3 linked regions of the Stegostoma tigrinum genome follow. The main gene of each other region encodes a partner of the protein of the gene in region 2 in a complex. Links are inferred from orthologs where the notes say so. Each region holds a gene or a part of one and is shown on either strand. Other genes may lie near its edges. The genes, in order: mlst8, mapkap1 and rictora.

Region 1 (7,151 bases), on a different chromosome or scaffold from region 2:
GCAGCTAACAGGGAAGAACGAGTAGGCATAAGTAGGTCTTTTCTTGTTTGGCAAGATGTAACAAGTAGTGTGCCACAGGGATCAGTGCTGAGCTTTTTACAATTTATATGTTACTTTAGATAAAGATATTGAAATTATGGTTGCTAAATCTGCTGATGACACAAAGAAAGGTAGGAAGGCAAGTTGTAAACATGAAATATGAAGGCTACATATGTAGGTAAGGTATATATTAATATATATAAATAAGTTACGTGAAAAAGGAGGGTACGTGACAACTTGAGGACAGGGGAAATTGTCCATTTTGTGTGAAGAATAAAAAAGTGCATTTTTAAATAGTGAGCAATTACAGAGTTGCAAAGTAATGTGTCCTAATACACAAATCACAAAAGTTAATATGCAGAAACAGCAAGTAATTAACAATGGTAACAGAATGTTATAATTTATTGCAACAGAAATTTAATATATTAAGTATGGAGGTTATGGTTCAGTTGTAACAAGCATTGATACGATCATGTCTGGAGTGGCATACAGAATTTGTTTTCTTATTTAAGATAGCAAGTAAACGCATGGGAAGCAGTTTAGAGATTTAACTGACTCATTCCCAAAAGCAACAGGTAGACTCTTAAGAAAAAGTGGTCAAGCTCACCTGGTATTCAGGAGAGTTTGGATGAGAAAGAGGTGACTTCTTTGAAGTACACAAGATCCTGAGAGGTTCTGACAGGATATAAAGGATGTTTCCTCTAGTTGGAAAATCCAGAACTCTGGGTTGCTGTTCAAAACTAAAAGAACACCCATTTAATAAATAAATTAGGAGATTTTATATCTTCAATCATTTTTGGAACTCTCTTCCTCAGAGGTGGTACAAGTGGATATTTTTGTTAATATTTTAAGACGGAGGTTGATTGATTCTTTGGAAGCGGGGTTGGAGTTAGTTATTGGGGCAGACTGAAATGAGGAGTAATCAGATTAACCATGAATTTATGTAATTGCGCGAGCAGGCTCTAGGGACCAGGAAGGCTGGTCCCAATTCAAACGTTCATAAGGCAAACTGTAATAACAAGTTGTGGAGCTGGATAAACACAGCAGACCAAGCAGCATCTTAGGAGCACAAAAGCTGACATTTCAGGCCTAGACCCTTCATCAGAAAAGGGAGATGGGGAGAGGATTCTGAAATAAATAGGGGGGGGGGAGGTGGTCCGAAGATGAATAGAGGAGAAGATAGGTGGAGAGGAGACAGTGGTCTAGGCCCGAAATCTATACTCTCCTCTCCACCTAACTTCTCCTCTATCCATCTTCAGTCCGCCTCCCCCTCTCTCCCTATTTATTTCAGAATCCTCTCCCCATCTCCCTTTTCTGATGAAGGGTCTAGGCCCGAAACGTCAGCTTTTGTGCTCCTGAGATGCTGCTGGGCCTGCTGTGTTCATCCAGCCTCACATTTTATTATCTTGGAATTCTCCAGCATCTGCAGTTCCCATTATCTCTCCACACTTCGTTATCTTGGTTTCTCCAGCATCTGCAGTTCCCATTATCTCTAATGATTTAACGATTTGCCGAATTGTTGTTAAACAAAACCTCACTGTTACAGAGATAGTAGGAACTGCAGATGCTGGAGAATCCGAGATAACAACTGCACCTCCCAGTCGCAAACCATTTCCACTCCCCCTCCCATTCTCTTGATGACATGTCCATCATGGGCCTCCTGCACTGCCACAATGATGCCACCCGAAGGTTGCAGGAACAGCAACTCATATTCCGCCTGGGAACCCTGCAGCCATATGGTATCAATGTGGACTTCACCAGTTTCAAAATCTCCCCTTCCCCCACTGCATCCCTCAACCAGCCCAGTTCATCCCCTCCCCCCACTGCACCACACAACCAGCCCAGCTCTTCCCCCCCACCCACTGCATCCCAAAACCAGTCCAACCTGTCTCTGCCTCCCTAACCGGTTCTTCCTCTCACCCATCCCTTCCTCCCACCCCAAGCCGCACCCCCAGCTACCTACTAACCTCATCCCACCTCCTTGACCTGTCCGTCTTCCCTGGACTGACCTATCCCCTCCCTACCTCCCCACCTACACCCTCTCCACCTATCTTCTTTACTCTCCATCTTCGGTCCGCCTCCCCCTCTCTCCCTATTTATTCCAGTTCCCTCCCCCCATCCCCCTCTCTGATGAAGGGTCTAGGCCCGAAACGTCAGCTTTTGTGCTCCTGAGATGCTGCTTGGCCTGCTGTGTTCATCCAGCCTCACATTTTATTATCTTGGAATCTCCAGCATCTGCAGTTCCCATTATCTCTGATAACAAAGTGTGTAGCTGGATGAACACAGCAGGCCAAGCAGCATCTCAGGAGCAGGAAAACTGACGTTTAGTAAACCCAGACTCCGTCATCAGTCCTACCCTCCCTGGACTCGATGCAGTCCGACAGCGGGGTTCTGTTCACCGTCCTTCAGCTCAGCCCTTGCTTTACTTCACTCTCTGCAAATTCTACTCACAACCGGAAGTCTGGTCCGTTTCTACATTTGTCCGCTGGTTCATTCATCTAAATGCGCCGGTCTGCCGCACCACCCACTATCAATCGGTCCGCCCGAGCTGCTCATCCCTTCCCTTCAGCGAGCGAGCGCGTGTGGAATTGATCATTAGGATATTCTTGCTGTCAGGGCGATTATTGATGGAATTTGGACAGTGGGGTGTTTATTATTTTATTGTGCCGCATCATCTACAGTTACAATCCTGGCGTTCGTAGATTTCTAGTGTCCTAAATTCAACTGAAATCATAGATAGCAGAGAAGAATCACCCCATCAGTGCATGATGGCAACGCAAACTTGTAGCAGAGATCAGAGACAGAAATTACTAAATTCCACTTGATGAAGAATGAAATGTTTTGATCTCTTTGACTTCGAGCAGTAAATCCAGAATCACAATCTTCGATCCGTTTGCCATTTATGTTGCTGTTGCACCACTCCTGACATTTCTGATCCCAGAGCAGGCTGTGGGTTCTTCGTAAACAGTGTGAATATTTGATGCACCTTTGCAGTACGTCTGTCCTAGTGCCCGACTCACCGAACGTAGCATCAAATTTTACCCAAGGTGACAACCAACTCAAGTAGCTCAGTATTCGGATATCAGCCATTCGCAAAGCACAAAAATAGGAGACATAGAGCAAAAAGGACAGACAATTAGACAAAGTGACACAATGGTCAACACAGATATTTTGAGGGGAGAAGCACTGGTAATTTTGAAAAACTTCGGACCTGGTGGAAGGCTCTTGGACGGATAAACATGAAGCTGTCGCACCTGGTGCATTATTGTCCACGTAGTTCAGACCCAGAAATTGGAGGAATTGTATCAAAATTTTACATCGGCTTACATCATATAGGAGTGGGTTTAGATAATATCGTGAAGGGCTGTATCAAAACACAGGAAAATCTAAACAGAGGTGGCTGAATAAGTGACGAAATTAAATTCAATATCCGAAAGAATGTTTTTTTTAAAAAAGCCAGAAAATACTGGAGAATCTCAGCAGGTCTGACAGCATCTGTGAACAGGGAGCAAAATTAACTTTTCGAATCCAAAGACTTCTTCGGACTTGAAGGGAGCGACAACGTATTGTTTCAATACTCTTGGCAAGGTGGGAAAGATGAGTAAGTGCGACGGATGGTGAGGCAATCCGGAACTAAAGACAAAGGGTACACTTCTCGTAGCAAGGGAGAGTTTTATATGTAAAATGGACGAGTGGTTCGTTTGAATTAGAGAAAAATAGGTCAGTTCTGGTGAAAGCGAAGCCAACAAGAAATTAGCGAGACACGTTGCGACAGGGCGAGAGAAATCAAAATAAACATTAAGGACAGAGATCATTCTCTGAAATTAATGAATTTAACATCTGAGTTCTGAAGGCTGTAAAGCACCTAAAGGTAGAGCGAAGTGGTGGTTCTCCAGCTTACATTAAACTTTGCAAGAACACCACAACAGAAATTCTAAAGAAGCGTCACTGCATCCAAAACGTTAACTCTGATTTCTCTCCAAACATGCTGCTAGACTTGGTGAGTTTTTGGAGTAATTTCCGTAATGTTCTAGCTTTCCAGCCCCCTCAGTTCTTTATTTATAGAATGGAGATGTTGGCGTGGAAGCAAGATAGATTATTGAAAATATAAGCAATTGGAAGAATACTGTCATTTTTATAGAGAGGGAGTGTTCTACAAAGCCAGTCTGTATTGGATCTCACCAATGTAACATTGTGAACTGCGAATATGGTGAACTAGATTGAAAGAAGTACAAGTAAAATGCTGCTTTGTGTTCATCCAGCTCTACACTTCGTTATCTCGGATTCTCCAGCATCTGCAGTTCCTATTATCTCTGATACAATTTTGACCTCATGCAAAGCCTCTTCTAGGGATGCCTAACCTGAAGAAGTTATCGTCCTGCCTCCGGACAAACCTCAGGGGATCTCTCTCTCACTGCAACTCTCTTGTCCGCGCTCGACCCCCCCTCCCCCCATATTTATTTCAGAACCCTCTCCACCATTTCTGATGAAGGGTCTAGGCCCGAAACGTCAGCTTTTGTGCTACTAAGATGCTGCTTGGCCTGCTGTGTTCATCCAGCCTCTCATTTTATTATCTTGACTGTACAAATAATTTGGTTTGTGAAATTATGAACTCTAGCAGTGACTAAATCACCTCATGACCCCCCAAAATCCCGTTCTCTGCCAACAAGGTGGGAATTTAATTGAATGCTCTCTCCTTGCCTTGACGAATGAAGTTCCAACAATGCTCAGCAAGCTTGAACCTCTCAAGAAACAACGGAACAATACAATACTGACACTTACTCGACAAAAGTGGAAAAGCACCCAAATGCATCCAAGGCACAAAAAAGTAGGACAGTGAAATGTCAATGTGGAATTCATTCCGACATGCGGTGGTTGTTAGAGTTAAATTTACTAGGTTTAAGAGAAGATATAATGAAGATAAGAATAGAGGGAAATGGGCGTGGATTTAAAGCTTTGGCAAAGATCTGTAGCTCGGGTTGTGGGTGAGATTGTCGTCTTGCTCGCCGAGCTGGCTTGTTCTCGTTCAGCTCGGCGAGCAAGTCAACAACCTCATATGGGTGTGGAACAGTGAGATATATTTACAGTTGCAAGATACCCCTGCACATTATAAATATTGGTAAAACCTGTTGAATGGAACGGTCAATTTCTGCATTTCGATTCTATGTAATTGAGGTTGACACTTCAGTACAGTACTGAGAAAGTGCTGCTATGCTGGATGCCCATGTTAAATGAAGACCCTGTCGAGCCATTTAGGTAAAAGCAAAAGACCCCACAACACTTTGCAAAGAACAGCGAGGGGATACTCCTGCTTTGCTGGCTATTGTTTATCCCTCAATCAGTATCACAAACAGGTTATCTAATCATTTATCTCAAAGCTCAATGTCAGACTTTTCCACGTATAAATTAGCTTATTTTATGTTACAATAAAAACAACAGTTGAAATATATTTAATTGGCCATGAAGCTCTTTGGGTCATTTTGTGCGATGGCTCTCGGAGTAAAATCACTGCTTGCAAAGCATGTTAGAAAGGTCTAAAACGTGATTTTAAAAAACTGAATACTTCAATTGTTCCTGGCCTGTCTGTGGGAAATAGTTTACCACGTTATATCTCAGTGGTATTCCATCTCCTAGACTCTCCAATCGTAGCGACACACAATTATTCCGAGACAGCAGGGTGAGCATTTTGACTATTCGTTATAGCGTTTGAATTTAGAGGTTCTTTTGTGGATTATTTGTCTTATATAAAATGCACTAGAGACATTGATGTTGTACACTGCATATTATTATTTTCTGTATTGACTATTTTGTACAATACATAATTCTTAACTAACTTTGCGCAGGTGCAAGGTATTTAGGTCCTACGACGATAAATGCCGAAAGTGAAAGAGCGAGAATTGGGTGGCTTGCTTTAAGTGAGCTGCGGGAAGCGGAAAAGGAGAGCAGCATTGGCAGAGACACGAAACAGGCGAGTGGAGATGCCTGGACGACGGGAACGTGGTGGGTATTCAGTATTGGAGACGGGGAATTGATCTCACATCAGTGCGAGCTGAAGACTCCATTGGGTCAAATCTGTCCTCACAGGACTTAGCAATGGGAGGAGACTTTATCTCTATTTAATCACTGCTCGTCGTCAGGCGGAATATCCCAGAATCACGTTCTGAGGATTCGTGGCACATTACAAGATTTAATTGCAATTACTGAAGAATTACAGACTACAATGTTTTGCTTACATTTCACTTGAGATTTAGCAGTTAAGGCTGGAATCAGCCCCGACAGTGATAAAGGTTGCCAACCCTCCAGGAGTGCCCTAGAATCCCCAGGATTTTAAAAAAAATGCATCTCCGGGAAGCTGTTGGGTGCATAGCTGCGTTCAATATTCTTCTAATTTTATTACCATATTGTAAATGGGCGGGAAGTGGTGAGAGAGCGAAATGTCAAATATTGTTATCTCGAGAACATACGTTCAACGGGTTGACAAACCCCCCTGATAGAACTGTTTGTGTGGATCACTATTTGAATATTCAGATCGTAGCACAACGTGAGTTGGCTCAGGTAGCTTCTGCTATGATGAATGTTACTGAGATAGGGGTCTTTGTATTAATCTCTGGGTCCATTGGTTCTGTATTGGAGACTGCATTATAGCAAAGCCCCAGCCAAGTTCAAATGAAAGGCTCGTTTTAATGGCAATATCATCTTTAGTTACACGCTACGGTTCCATTTTGACGTATTTTCCTGCAAACTCGTGTTTAATGGATTAGAAAAAAAGGGAGTTGTGGAAAAGTTGTGATGTTCTTGCTGCTTATAGGCGTAAGAATTCTTCCCTACTGGAAGACGTTGCTTAGAAGCTGCGCATGTGATCAGCGTTTCTGCCACTCCAGTGCAGAACCGAGGGAATGCTGCATTTTTGCATTCAGATGAAACATAGACAATGAGTCGTTTTGGTGGATAAACAAATCCAATGACACCATCTGAAAGGGAGTTCTCCCTGCTGCATTGGCCAATATTTATGCAAATTGGAATTTAAGTTTTGATTGAAATAATGGATGACCCACTTGCCAAACAATATCACAAACTAAATTTTACTTTCTTGCTTCAGCTTAATTTTGTAA
Region 2 (6,995 bases):
GTCTTAGGCCTTAAAAGTCTGGAATTTCTCCTGACATCTCTCCATTTCACTTTCCTCCTTTAAAAGATTCCTTAACACCTTCCTCTGACACAAGGCTTTCAGTAAGTCTCCTAACATTCAGTTTCAAAGTCATCTTTCGACCAAAAACATTAACTCTATTTCTGTCTCCACTTCCACTGCATGATCTGCTGGGTTTCTCTAACATCCTCAATTTTATTTTTACTCCACATAGTATCTTCTTCGGCTTGGCATCATTTTTTAGCTGATCATCCTTCCGTGAAGCACTAGGCCCAATGTTAAAGGTTATAATAAATTAGAAAGCAATTAAGTTCTTGCTCCCCAAAAACAATGTTGAAATTTCTTCTCTAAAAAGGGAAAGCAAAACACAAAGTAGAAGCAGAAAAAAAGCAAATCAGCATAAAATATTCATGATATTTGTATATTTTCAATGTACAAAAAGAGAGTCCTCACAAGGAAATACCTCTCACTTTTATTTTGCTATTCACTGCTGAAACTGGCAAAGCTTGTTATGAGAAAAATGCAACAGATTTCCTAAATCATGCAAACATAGTGAGGTGCATGCATTACTTTTACACTATCACCATCCGATTCTTAATCAGCTTTAGCCAACCCGTCCAATGTGGGTTCTCTCGGACCTTCATAGTTTCAAAACATCCATCATCGACATGACAAAAGTCAAAAGTGTTATGGAATACTTCCACTCGTTTCAAGTTCGCTTCCAACAACACCACACCCTGTATACAATCCAAGGTAAAGCAGCATGCTTGACTAGCATCCCCACCTTAAACATCCATGACCTCCATAACCAGCGCAGAGCACTGTGACCAAGATAAACTGTAACAAAGCACCATAGCTCCTTCATCAGCACCACTGGCACGGACAGCAAAGAAACGGGAATCACCATTCCCTCAGAGTTTACCATCAAGCTGACTTGGAAATATATAACCATGCTTTTGTGGTCACTGGAGCAAAATAACGCTTCATCAATAGCACCAAGAGAGGACCTACATCACAGCAGCTGAATTGGTTCAATGCAGCTGGGCACTACCTTCTCAAAGGCAGTACGGAATGGCCAATAATGCTGGTCTTACCGGCAACACTTATCCTGTGAGCATAAATTAGAAAATACTTGCATGCTATTCTCTAACATGATATTTGAGAAGGTAATGCAATTCAAACGTTGAAGTTTGGCAGTGTCAAAATAGTATACCAAAAATAAAACGGCAGGTCAGAAGGTTGCCCAAGTGTGTGTTTGTCGGGAGTCAGGATGGAAGAAATATCAGCTATAAAACAGCAGGCAGACTTAGTTAACTAGAGAAATTCTAAGTGAGAAATTAGCTTAAATGCCTGTTTGAGGATAGCCCAGAGCAACTATGTTATCATGGAAATGGCTATAACTTAGAAAGGCTCTCAAGCCTCAGTTTATTTGGGTATTTCCTGGAGAGGTTTTTGATTGCAGTTTAGACCTTATATGGTTTGCAGATCACAACGCCAGCCAAAATTATTAAAAGCTAGACCTGTACTGTACACAAATTAAAACACAGACGTTACCATTTACCACAGAGAAGTTGGGTCAGACTTAATACCAGTTTGAATCTTCTGAAGGAGGAAGATAATAGGTCAGCGCAACATCGTAGGCTGAAGGGCCTGTACTGTACTGTTCTATGTTCTACTGCTGTAATAGCTTCAACTGAGGCAATATACTGTCGGTGAATTATTGCTAAAGAAAGGAGCAGAAGATTAGCATGAAAGTACTAGAAAAGTATTCAGAACAAGAGATTGAAGTCTCCACAGTCAAGAGAAAGTAAGTTAAAGTTCTATTTCTAAGAATTGTCATAGTTGACAAAAATTCTCCACAGGACTGTGGCATACTGTCCATATCATACAATCCCTAGTGTGGAAGCAGGCTATTCGGTCTACTGAGTTAAAAGACGAGTTCCAAACAGCATCTTTCAAATAACTTCAAAATATATACTTCTCAAAAGAATGAGCTAAGAAAGTAAACTTGAGCATATACAGGTATAAGCTAGTGTCAATCTAATCATACATGCTAATTTTTTTGTTAAAAGATGAAATCTTGCAGTGTAATTCTACAGTTTAAAATGAGGTTTTTGAATTTTTCAAAATGTTTGATGATCCCTAACTAGCTACCACAAAAGTGAAAACGAAAAGCTCTACGAACTTCTATCCCTTGTTTACGATTTATAATTTGAATGTGACAGCTTCAAACATCAAAAAAATCGTACAAATTGAATATCAGATTCCATCCATAACATGAAATAAAAAAAATTTAGAGGGGCCATGCAAAATCTGTGCGTAGCTTTCAAACACAAGAAGCGTTGTCCTCTGAACCCTTTGCCACTGCTACAGTCTTGTTTACTCCTACACATCCATTAACGTATACAAAATGATCACAGTCAATGACTAATCACATTGGCATTGTATTCTTAGTTGCCACGTATAGTATAAATCAGAGAATAAACCAGTGTAACGGGTGTGCCATCTATCAGCTTTGCAGAGCGGGGGTGTTTTTCTGGATAGCGTTGTTTTACTCCTAATAACATATTTACGAGGAATTTTGAACAACTTGGGACAAGACTACTTTGACCCCTGAAAACCACAACAGGCCTAATGAGCTGCATTAAAGGCGACAGATAAATAAACTCTGCTTTTTTCACCAAAGATAGAGACGAAATGTTGTAAACAAACTGGATCAAGTGAGTAGGAGCCGTGCATGTGACGGAGGCCGGCGGTAAAGCTGTTGCTCTAGCAGCAGGCTCCACCAGCGGCCTAGTCCGAGGAACTCACACTGACAGGTAGCAAACTCGAAGAAAAACATACCGTCGATTTCAGCACTTCTTGACGGTTGGTCAGGCTTTCAAACACGTGTGTCACCTGTACATAGCCAGCGCTTCCTTCGGCATTGAAAATCTCAGATAGTCGCCTTATTACCACTGTTTACAGAGAATATTCCGGACACGTCAACCATACTCCCAAACCCGTACCTCGGCCCGGAACGCTATCCGCCGTGGATTGAACACTCAACCGCACTCGGCTACGAGGGCGGGACCGACACACAACTCAACCTGCTGCCGGAAAGCCAGCATGGATTGGCAGCAGCAATGCTCAATCAGATTGAGTCCTCCTGGGGAGTCTCATCACTGATTGGAGTATTGGGGAAACTTGTACCAATCAATGAGGAGCAGGAAAGGTCTTGCGCTGGCTTGTAGCAGGTTGCTGTGACCGGTGCTACCTTGCTGTGTCCGAGGCTCAATTGTTTTGAATTGAGCTACTGGTGGGCGTCTGCTTTTCTACCTTGTATTGCCCTGTTTATGTCTACAATGTACTGTTGTTATTTTCCTCCTCCAAAGAGTTCATTCTACTCCCAATACTTTATTTATATGCATGTTTTAATAGAGTAAATCATTGTATAACTTTGCTACTTAAGTTCTTTAATTGCTGTACAGGTAAACTATAGATACGATCTCTGGAAAATTTGCACTGGTTTGCTGACGTGTGAATTCTCGGTCATACAGTTGCAGTAAATTCTAGATGTGAACCATCATTGTTCGTTTTTTGCCTGCAATTGATCAGAATTCTAAAAAACGCTTCTCCGTATGGTCCGAGATGTAGCCAATCAATGTACACAATCTGTGTAAAGTTTGAAGTATGATACTGCACTTCTTCTTTGGAAAGAGACATTTCTGATGGTTTTCAGAAAGGAAGTGTGTGCCTGAAATTCTGATAGTTATTTAAGAAGGTGACATATTGTAAATGGTGGATGTGGTATACATTGACTTTTAGAAAACTTTTGATAAAGTGCAATGCTGAAAGCCAATGACAAACAGTTGAAAGATGTGTGGGGGGCGGTGGTGGTAGGCTGGTTATATTCAAATAGGAGGCATAATAATTCCGAGGACCAGAGTCCCTCAGGAGCTAAAAAGCCTGATAATCAGGCAGAGGACTGAGCAGGAAAGCAGAAGATGGAATGTTAATAAATGAGATGTTCAGTTTTAAAGAAAGCCTTGAATTTATATATTAGCTTTTGCAACTACCAGACATTTCAATGCATTTTACAATCAATGAAGTATTTTTCAAGTGTTGTAAAGTAGAAAACACAATAGCCAATTGTCCATTGCAGGAACAGCAAAGTGATGACAACCAACAAATAATTTTTGTGATGTTCATTGAAGGATTAGCAATAGCCAGAATGCCAACTATCACACATTTGTTTTTACTTTAAAACAGCATTTTGTGTTCTTTTATATCCACCTGAAAGCATGGATGACTTCAACTTAATGTCTCATCCAAAAAAACACCACTCGCAGTGAATCCCTCCACAGTACGACAATGAGTGTTGGCCTAGATTTTTGAATGTGATTCAGAGATGAAAGTGACAGCACTGTGCCACCACTGATACTGCTTCAAGATATTATCCACTTAGTCTAACACTTTTAATTTAATTAGAAAAGCTAATGAAATATTGTTCTATGACAAGGTATAGAATATAAAATTAGCAATGTGATGATAGACCACAATCGGAAATATTTTGTAATTTTAGAATCTGCACTAAAAGAATATGTTGAGGTGGGAGAAAAGGGTACAAGCAGATTCAGCAGGACTTTTCTCATGGCAAGATAAGTAAGTAAAAAAGATGCAGGTGGAGTGCAAGAAAAGCTTTTTTTTCCAGAGGGTTGTGAAAATGTATTATGCTAGGTTCAAAATGAGTGAAGCAGTTTCTATCATTTGGAATTTCTATGGAGATTCTCACTTAACATGAGTGAAAAGTATGAAATTCTGGAGAAATTACAGAAATAGCCAAAAATAAAAGAACTGCAGATGCTGGAAATCAGAAACATCTGAAGAAGAAGGGTCACTGGACCTGGAAGGTTAACTTTGCTTTCTGTCCACAGGTGCTGCAAAAGATTTCTCAGCAATTTATGTTGTTATGGGAATATTTGATTTCTCAAGGTTTTCTGCTGATTTTCCACGGAACATGTGTGGAGCATTGGAAGAATCCTAACTGAATATCTACCTCCATGTAACATTTGTGAATTAATTATTAGGTGGTTGGAGAAAAGGAAAATAAAGTGAACCAGACAGGCTTGTGGGATTTGCACCAGTGTGAAGGATAAACATCACTGTGATTTTGTGGGCCAGATGGTCTGTTTTCAAGGTGTAACTGACTTGCCTGATGCTGTACACTTTCTTTGAAAAAGCTGGGATCAATAAACAAAATGTCAAATATCACATAGTCTGATAGACTGGAAATATTTTGGCATCCAGTGTGGGAATATATTGATTGATATCACAAAAGCAAATATGGAATCCTATAATTATAGACATCTATGCTCTGTTCTAAACTCCAAGTTTTCCCAAAGAGAGCAAAATACTTAAATGCATTTATTTGTATTTATGCTTGGGATATATTCTGTTCATATCTACCAGTACATTTAATTTTCATTAAAAAGTATTTGCATTGTTCCATTTTTGTAAAACAATGTTGTCTATTGTACATAGTAATATTTTTAAGGTGTGATTCCAGGCAAAACACTTTTCGATCAGATGATGTTAACCTTACTTTACATTGAAATTCTGTTTATTTCTTCCATGGTATTATCCCCCTACATCGTATGAACGGGACCAACTAATTAACACAAGTGATAAGCAACATAGCGGATGCTCTTCTTGTCAGTGCTGAAAAATTAACTCAGAACTTTATGCCAAATTTGTGTTTTGTAATTATGTTACTTGTTTTAGATTTGAGTTTTAGTGCAATGATATTTCTATAAGAAAGCAAAATGAAATACATCAAGAAGACAGTCACATATAAAGCAACGTTTGGCCTGTTTTAGATAATATTACGACAGAAAATGCATATATTCTTTTAAAATCTGCAGAAAACTCAGGAAACCATAGAACATCACTAATCACGATTTGAGATAAATATTGAATATTTTTTGAATTAAGCACAATAAATTTCTCCAAAACTAAACAATAATAATTAGTCTTAATTAAATCAATTTTGTACCTCACTATTAACCTTGAAACACCACTCATGATCAAGGGGCACAATGCAAGGTAAAAAGGTAAAGACCTAGTATAGAGCATTGTCAAGCTGGAAAGGGTACAATATAATCAGATAAGTTGGGCTGTAATAAGTTTGTGGCACTGAATATATATGTTTTGAAAGCTAGGGATTATAAGTGGAAGGAAAAGTGTTAGCTGGAGACCCTGTGCAATTGGTTTATATTTCAGCAGGGGAGAGAGGAGAGAAGAGAGATGTTAATGAAAATGGTTACCTTTCTGACAAACATTTCAAACAAAATATACTCTCGCCGTTATAGGATTGAGAAAGTGTGATGTTGCCAATAATCAAGTCTTTTAACAAAATATAGCTTTACATAGAGGTAAATGTTCGTAAAAGGAAATTCAGGATGGAGTCTTGCTAGTCCTTGAATGATGTAGGCTGTCATGAAAAATTTGAGAGAATCATATAAGAAGACCAGCAAGGTCTTCATGTAAATCAGGAGCAACAAGTTACATTTTCCAACAGAGTTCCAGTCAGCGAGTCAAGATTCCTGCTATTGACGTGCAACAGGCCTGACAAAAAGCATTATCGCTCATTATCTTCTTCATTACCACTGAATCTCACTTCATTAACATGCAGATCCCTATCTTACCATATACCAAACTAGGCATGGAGAATTTCCAACATGAAAGTCACAGCAGGCACCACTCCAGCTCCATCTTGCGTACACAACACGAACGCTTCAGGGAACACACCATGGACGATTGCGGTAAGCACCGCATGTCCATTGATGCTTGCATCTGACACATGACAGCCTCTCTACACCATTATGATACATCTTTGATTCAAATATAGTATGCTTCTGCACTGCCATGCTGTGCTTTGGGGCACACGAGAAACTATCACCGGAATGCTACTGCAATGGCACATTTTGCACAGAAAC
Region 3 (7,075 bases), on a different chromosome or scaffold from region 2:
ACAGTATTATTATTGAGCCCCGGCCTCGCGTGTGTCTCAGCCGCAGGAAGGAGATCAGAGAGCCCGGGCTGCTGGAGACGCAGTCGCCGGTCCCTCCCCTCAGGACGTGGCCGTTTCGAAAAAAACACATCGTGCACCCATCATCCTCCTTTCTCCACCCAGAGTCAAAAAGCAATAAACGTTAATACAGAAAAATACATCGAAACTGCCGCCACTTCCCACAAAACTTAAGAGTCCATTTTAAACGTAAACAAATCACTGAAGGCTTCATTACTAGGCAATGTTTGCAAGCTGACAGACAGGGAAGGCATCTCCGGAGCAGCGCGATAGGGCAAAGGTTAGGCTGGCGCTGGAACTGATTAATGGAGTAGGGTCAATACAAGCACTTGGGCAAGAGATACCGAGCAGGTTCCACACATAGGCACCAGTAGTCAGCGTTTTCAGAAATACTGCACTTGCACTGCATGACTCACTCGCTAAATCAATGCTGCTGGGAGACCAGGTACCACCACGATAGAAGCTCAGAATCCCAATACTGTGGAACAGACCATTCAGCCCTTCAAGTCCACGCTGATCTTCCAAACAGCATCCCATCCAGATCCAACCCTCTCCCTGTAAGCCTGCATTTCCCATGGCTAATCCACCTAACACACATCTCTGGACTGTGGGAGGAAATCAGAGCACCAGGAGGAAACCTATCCCGACCCTGTGAGAACGTCTGTGTGGAGTCTGCACGGCTGCCCGAGGCTGGTATTGAACCCGGGTGCTAGGTGCTGTGAGGCAGCTGTGCTACCTACTGAGCCACCATCCAGGAGACCACTTGCTTTTGTTTCTAAACGAGCACAGACAATGCATTTAATAATGTTACATGTTATCAGCTGGCATCAGATGTGAAACATTAACAAGAGAAAATACCCATTCCTTGCAATTTAGCAGTACTAGATTTAGGATTGAGAGAATATTAATGACTTTCGTTGCCAAAAAATCACTACTTTGGACAGTGAAAAATGCTGGTTTTATTTGCTGAGTAGGCAGAGGATAGTTTTAGAGCACTGGTGAGTACAAAATCATGCCTAAATAGTGACAGCTTGAGGTGTTAATTAACTTGAAATAACAGGAGGTATCGCTACATGAAAGGTCTTGCTTGGTTTGTCTAGAATGGAACAACTTTGGGGGAGGAAATTGGAATAGAATGGCTCTTGCTTAGAATGAACTAAGCTGGGTGAGAGAAAATTTCACTGAAAAAGTGTACAGTACAATGCAGGAGAAGGCAGACAAAATAGGATGACAGTGGCAAAGGGGCATATAGAAAAATACAGAAAATCAAGAATGTAGAGTCAAAGGCTCAGACTAAGGGACTGGTCACTTAGAATTGAGATGAGAAAACACAAAAATACAGAAAACAAAACCAATTCAGTGTAACTAGTCCACTTCAACATGATCATAGCTGATCCTCCATCTGAGGGCCACGCTCCCACTATCGCCCCATACCCATAATTTCACTGAAAGACATATGAATTTTTGGAGTTCTGTACCCGAGAGCGCTGTGGATGCCAGTTAACAATTACACACACAAACTGAAAACAAGAAATGCTGGAGGTCACAGCAGGTCTTACAGCATCCATGGAGAAAGCCCATGCTAATGTTTTGAATCTAGATGACTCCATCAGAACTGAACACTCACAAAGATCGCTGCAGATATTTTGAATGACAGATGAGAGGGGCTTGCAGGCGCTCTACTGTCGAACAAGTTTAGGTCTCAAGAGGCTGTAGTGTTTACTCCTCCTATTTGTTAGGTTCTTTACCACCCACTACTTCAAGATCCTCGATGCCCAGTTTCATACCCTCAATGTCCAATCCTGTATTGCATCTTTCAGCTATTTGATCTGTCCCAGACGTTCCCCCTACCCCCAGCCTCATCTTACATCCCCCCCCCAATCCGATTACACAGATTCCCATCTTGCCTGCTCCCCCTATCCATTATCCTTCGCCCTCTCCCAGTCCCCCCTTTTCCCATCCCACTTCAACACCGTCGTCCCCTTCCTAATCAATAAATCCCAGCTCACTTTCTTTCCTACCCCAACCCCGCAAAATGCACCCAGTTCTCCCTTTAGCCCACCCGCCCCCAATGACAGTGGAGGGCCAACCAGCTCCAGGGCGGAGTGGAAAGGCGAGACCACAAACAGAGATGGGGGGGGGGGGGGAGGAGCGGGGCGGGGCGTGGGGCAGATGAATGATCCCACAAACCCCTCTCCTGCCCCCGAGTGGAATCTCCCCACCAACGGACGGGGCTCGCGGCCCGGGAGCCGTTAGTGTTTGAAAAGCTGGCGCCCAGGAGAGGCGGCGGCCCCTGATTCATTCGGTGCGAGGGCGGCGGGAGACAGTCAGAGAGAAGGAAAAACAACTTCACTTTCCCACTCCTCCCGACTGAGTCCACCGGTTCCCTCCCCACCCCCAACTCCTTTACACAATAATTCCAAAGTTTTGTGGTCTCCCTCACACTCCGGTCAGCGGAGCAGCGACTTTGCCCTCACGTCTCATCGTAGCTCCAACACCATTCCTCCCCCACCACGATCCGCCATCACCAACCTCCTACAGAATTTTATTTTGTTTATTTACTTCCTTCCACCGTCCTCATATTTAAAAAAAATGCCCCGTTTCCCCCTTACCTCGGGACAGATCGAGCGGCACGTTCTCCTCCCCGCTGTCATTCCGCCCTGCGTGCATATTGTAAATCAATATAAGAAGATATGTGCAGAGGAGAGAGAGAGAGAAAACAAATACGATTAAGGATGGTTCAGTTAAGGTGGCCGGTAAGTCATACATTTTATTTCCATAAACAAACAACATTCGACGGGGCCGTTATTAAAGTGCGAGCGTCGTTAATTGCCGCTGCTGAGGGTTTTTTGTTTTTGTTCTGGTTATCGGTCTATGCCTTGCCGGCCGGGTCTGACGACTGAGGGTAATGTACCTCTGATGCGGAGGCTCCTAACGGAGCGGCCGCGAACGCTGACCGCCATGTTCACGGACTCTCGCCTCTCTGCCCGCCCGCCCGGCCTGGGGCCGCACAAAAACACCGGAAACGCCGGGCAGCTCTCGCGAGAGGACGGCCCTGGCCCGGGCCCAGGCTCAATGAATGGGGAGGTGGGGTGGGGTGTAAGGGTGGAGGGGCGGGTCTCCAGGGTTAGGGGTGGGTCTTTAGGAAGGGGGCGTGCTCCAGGAATAAGGGGTTTGGTGGTTTGGTGCTGCACTAGAAACGTTAATTTGGCTTTCTCTCCACAGATTGTTAGACTTGTATCAGAGGTAACGGGAACTGCAGATGCTGGAGAAACCAAGATAACAAAGTGTATACTGCATCCACTGTACCCGGTGCGGCTTTCTCTACATTGGGGAAACCAAGCGGAGGCTTGGGGACCGCTTTGCAGAACACCTCCGCTCAGTTCGCAACAAACAACTGCACCTCCCAGTCGCAAACCATTTCCACTCCCCCTCCCATTCTCTTGATGACATGTCCATCATGGGCCTCCTGCACTGCCACAATGATGCCACCCGAAGGTTGCAGGAACAGCAACTCATATTCCGCCTGGGAACCCTGCAGCCATATGGTATCAATGTGGACTTCACCAGTTTCAAAATCTCCCCTTCCCCCACTGCATCCCTCAACCAGCCCAGTTCATCCCCTCCCCCCACTGCACCACACAACCAGCCCAGCTCTTCCCCCCCACCCACTGCATCCCAAAACCAGTCCAACCTGTCTCTGCCTCCCGAACCGGTTCTTCCTCTCACCCATCCCTTCCTCCCACCCCAAGCCGCACCCCCAGCTACCTACTAACCTCATCCCACCTCCTTGACCTGTCCGTCTTCCCTGGACTGACCTATCCCCTCCCTACCTCCCCACCTACACCCTCTCCACCTATCTTCTTTACTCTCCATCTTCGGTCCGCCTCCCCCTCTCTCCCTATTTATTCCAGTTCCCTCCCCCCATCCCCCTCTCTGATGAAGGGTCTAGGCCCGAAATGTCAGCTTTTGTGCTCCTGAGATGCTGCTTGGCCTGCTGTGTTCATCCAGCCTCACATTTTATTATCTTGGAATCTCCAGCATCTGCAGTTCCCATTATCTCTAACAAAGTGTGAAGCTGGATGAACACAGCAGGCCCAGCAGCATCTCAGGAGCACAAAAGCTGACGTTTCAGGCCTAGACCCTCCATCAGAAAAGGGGGATGAGGAGAGGGTTCTGAAATAAATAGGGAGAGAGAGGTAGGCAGATTGAAGATGGAGACAAAAGAAGATAGGTGGAGAGGAGAGTATAGGTGGGGAGGTAGGGAGGGGATAGGTCAGTCCGGGGAGGACGTACAGGTCAAGGGGGTGGGATGAGGTTAGTAGGTAGGAAACGGAGGTGTGTTGGGAGGAGGGGATAGGTGAGAGGAAGAACAGTTTAGGGACGAGGGGACGAACTGGGCTGGTTTTGGGATGCAGTGGGGGGAGGGGAGATTTTGAAGCTGGTGAAACCCACAGTGATACCATTGGGCTGCAGGGTTCCCAAGCGGAATATGAGTTGCTGTTCCCGCAACCTATCGGTGGTGTCATTGTGGCACTGCAGGAGGCCCATGATGGACATGCCATCTCAGGAATGGGAGGGGGAGCTGAAATGGTTTGCGACAATGAGGTATAGAACATTACAGCACAGTACAGGCCCTTCGGCCCTCGATGTTGTGCTGACCTGTCATACCGATCTCAAGCCCATCTAACTTAAACTATTTTATACGAGGTGCAAGATAATACAGTGTGAAGCTGGGTGAACACAGCAGGCCAAGCAGCATCTCAGGAGCACAAAAGCTGACGTTTCAGGCCTCTCTCTGATGAAGGGTCTAGGCCCGAAAAGTCAGCTTTTGTGCTCCTGAGATGCTGCGTGGCTTGCTGTGTTCATCCAGCTTCACACTTTATAATCTTGGATTCCCCAGCATCTGCAGTTCCCATTATCTCTCTATACTAGATGCAGTTATTTACTGTGAACCGAGCATAGGTGTTCTGCAAACCGGTCCCCAAGCCTCCGCTTGGTTTCCCCAATGTAGAGGAAGCCACACAGTGTACAGCAGATGCAGTATACCACATTGGCGGATGTGCAGGTGAACGTCTGCTTGATGTGTAAAGTCTTCTTGGGGCCTGGGATGGGGGTGAGGGAGGAGGTGTGAGGGCAAGTGTAGCACTTCCTGCGGTTGCAGGAGAAAGTGCCGGGTGTGGTGGGGTTGGAGGGGAATGTGGAGCGGATAAGGGAATCGCGGAGAGAGTGTTCTCTCCGGAAGGCAGACAGAGAGAAGTGTGGGGATGGAAAACTGTCTTTAGCGGTGGGGTTGGATTGTAGATGGCAGAAGTGTCGGAGGATGATGCGTTGTATCCACAGGTTTGTGGGGTGGTATGTGAGAACTAGGGGGATTCTCGTTTGGCAGTTATTGCAGGGGCGGGGTGTGAGGGATGAGTTGCGGGAAATGCGGGAGACGTGGTTGAGGGCGTTCTCGACCACCGCAGGGGGATGTTGCGCTCCTTGAAGAACGAGGAGATCTGGGATGTACGGGAGTGGATAGCCTCATCCTGGGAGCAGATGCGGCGGAGGTGAAGGAATTGGGAATAGGGGATGTAATTTTTGCAGGAAGGTGGGTGTGTGGAGTTGATTTCTAGGTAGCTGTGGGAGTCGGTGAGCTTGAAATGGACATCGGTTTCTAGGTGGTTGCCTGAGATGGAGACAGGTCCAGGAAGGTGAGGGATGTGTCGGAGATGGTCCAGGTGAACTTAAGGTTGGGGCGGAAGGGGTTAGTGAAGTGGATGAACTGTTTGAGCTCCTCTTGGGAGCGCGAGGCGGCACCAATACAGGTATCAATGTAACAGAGGAAGAGGTGGGGGTTGGGGCCAGTGTAGTTGCGGAAGAGGGACTGTTCCACGTAACCTACAAAGAGGCGGGCATAGCTTGGGCCCATGTGGGTACCCATGGCCATCCCTTTTGTCTGTAGGAATTGGGAGGAATAGAAAGAGAAGTTGTTGAGGGTGAGGACAAGTTCGGCTAGGCGGATGAGGATGTCGTTGGAGAGGGACTGGTTGGGTCTGTGGGACAGGAAGAAGCGGAGGGACTGGGCTGGTTTTAGGATGTGGTCCCCAAGCCTCCTGCACATCTTCACCTGCACATCTGCCGATGTGCTATACTGCATCCGCTGTACCCGTTGTGGCTGCCTCTACATCAGGGAAACCAGCAGAGTCTTGGAGACTGCTTTGCAGAACACCTACACTCAGTTTGCAATAAACAACTGCACCTCACAGTCGCGAACCATTTCAATTCCCCCTCGCATTCTTTAGATGACACGACCACCCTGGGCCTCCTGCAGTGCCATAACGATGCTACCCGAAGGTTGCAGAACCCTGCAGCCCAATGGTATCAATGTGGATTTCACAAGCTTCAAAATCTCCCCTCCCCCCCACTGCATCCCAAAACTAGCCCAGCTCGTCCCCACCTCCCTAATCTGTTCTTCCTCTCTCCTTTCCCCTCCTCTCACCTCAAGCCGCACCCTCATTTCCTTCCTTCTAACCTCGTCCCGCCCCCTTGACCTGTCCGTCCTCCTTGGACTGACCTATCCTCTCCCTACCTCCCACCTATACTCACCTCTACAGGATCCATGCCCGCCCCTTTAATTTGTCTGTCTCCTCTCCACCTACCTTTTCCTCTATTCATCTTCGATCTGCCTCCCCCTCTCTCCCTATTTATTTCAGAACCCTCTCCCCATCCCCCTTTTCTGATGAAGGGTCTAGGCCCGAAATGTCAGCTTTTGTGCTCCTGAGATGCTGCTTGGCCTGCTGTGTTCATCCAGCTCCACACTTTGTTATTTCTGTTAGACTTGCTACGTTTTCCCAGCAGTTTATGGTTTTGTCCCTGAGGGACATTCAGGGTATGGGGAAGAAGGAGAGGGTCTGATAAAGTAGGATGGCAGCCAAGAGGGACAGCAGCAACATAGTTGGCAGAGGGGCCAGCTGTCAACCTTCACCAATGGAAGAACACATTTAATGTCAGGCTGACTTTCTTCTTCTGAAGA

What was found.
Region 1: the proteins of mapkap1 (region 2) and mlst8 are in contact, whole or in part, in a cryo-EM structure (PDB 7PE8), measured with the Homo sapiens proteins. The link is inferred for Stegostoma tigrinum from reciprocal best matches to the Homo sapiens genes MAPKAP1 and MLST8. Residues at the interface, in NP_001006618.1 of Homo sapiens: Lys102, Cys103, Lys104, Asn105, Ile106, Gln107, Trp108, Lys109, Arg111, Asn112, Ser113, Lys121, Leu123, Phe124, Glu125, Lys126, Lys127, Ser128, Leu129, Gly137, Lys138, Gln139, Ser140, Ile141, Leu142, Val144, Arg145, Leu146; in NP_001186102.1 of Homo sapiens: Ala29, His30, Pro77, Ile78, Ile79, Ser80, Tyr81, Asp82, Gly83, Arg98, Arg110, Ile111, Trp112, Gln120, Cys121, Gln122, Arg123, Ile124, Asn139, Gln140, Ala141, Leu157, Lys158, Ile203, Glu206, Ser279, Gly280, Asp281, Gln283, Asp322.
Region 3: the proteins of mapkap1 (region 2) and rictora are in contact, whole or in part, in a cryo-EM structure (PDB 7PE7), measured with the Homo sapiens proteins. The link is inferred for Stegostoma tigrinum from reciprocal best matches to the Homo sapiens genes MAPKAP1 and RICTOR. Residues at the interface, in NP_001006618.1 of Homo sapiens: Ala2, Phe3, Leu4, Asp5, Asn6, Pro7, Ile9, Ile10, Leu11, Ala12, His13, Ile14, Arg15, Gln16, Ser17, His18, Thr20, Ser21, Asp22, Asp23, Thr24, Met26, Cys27, Met29, Val30, Leu31, Ile32, Asp35, Val36, Ser84; in NP_689969.2 of Homo sapiens: Arg108, Gln137, Glu140, Thr144, Leu147, Arg148, Arg151, Lys152, Thr155, Arg182, Met183, Arg185, Ala186, Ala189, Cys192, Glu193, Leu196, Leu220, Arg222, Ile223, Glu225, Ala226, Leu227, Thr229, Thr230, His233, Asn236, Arg293, Trp295, Glu844.

Annotation. Positions count from the first base shown.
Region 1 is NC_081376.1:20,632,854-20,640,004, reverse strand, and holds the start of mlst8 (target of rapamycin complex subunit lst8), read right to left. Parts: upstream 3,019-7,151; 5' UTR 2,794-3,018; exon of another isoform or gene 2,362-2,793; intron 780-2,361; exon of another isoform or gene 647-779; intron 1-646. Other genes in the region: zgc:113333 (beta-N-acetylhexosaminidase), read left to right, coding at 6,018-6,039.
Region 2 is NC_081382.1:27,184,059-27,191,053, forward strand, and holds the start of mapkap1 (target of rapamycin complex 2 subunit MAPKAP1), read right to left. Parts: upstream 3,087-6,995; 5' UTR 2,863-3,086; intron 1-2,862. UniProt on the Homo sapiens protein: Component of the mechanistic target of rapamycin complex 2 (mTORC2), which transduces signals from growth factors to pathways involved in proliferation, cytoskeletal organization, lipogenesis and anabolic output.
Region 3 is NC_081356.1:134,468,181-134,475,255, forward strand, and holds the start of rictora (rapamycin-insensitive companion of mTOR), read right to left. Parts: upstream 3,101-7,075; 5' UTR 3,021-3,100; coding exon 2,972-3,020; intron 2,718-2,971; coding exon 2,670-2,717; intron 1-2,669. UniProt on the Homo sapiens protein: Component of the mechanistic target of rapamycin complex 2 (mTORC2), which transduces signals from growth factors to pathways involved in proliferation, cytoskeletal organization, lipogenesis and anabolic output.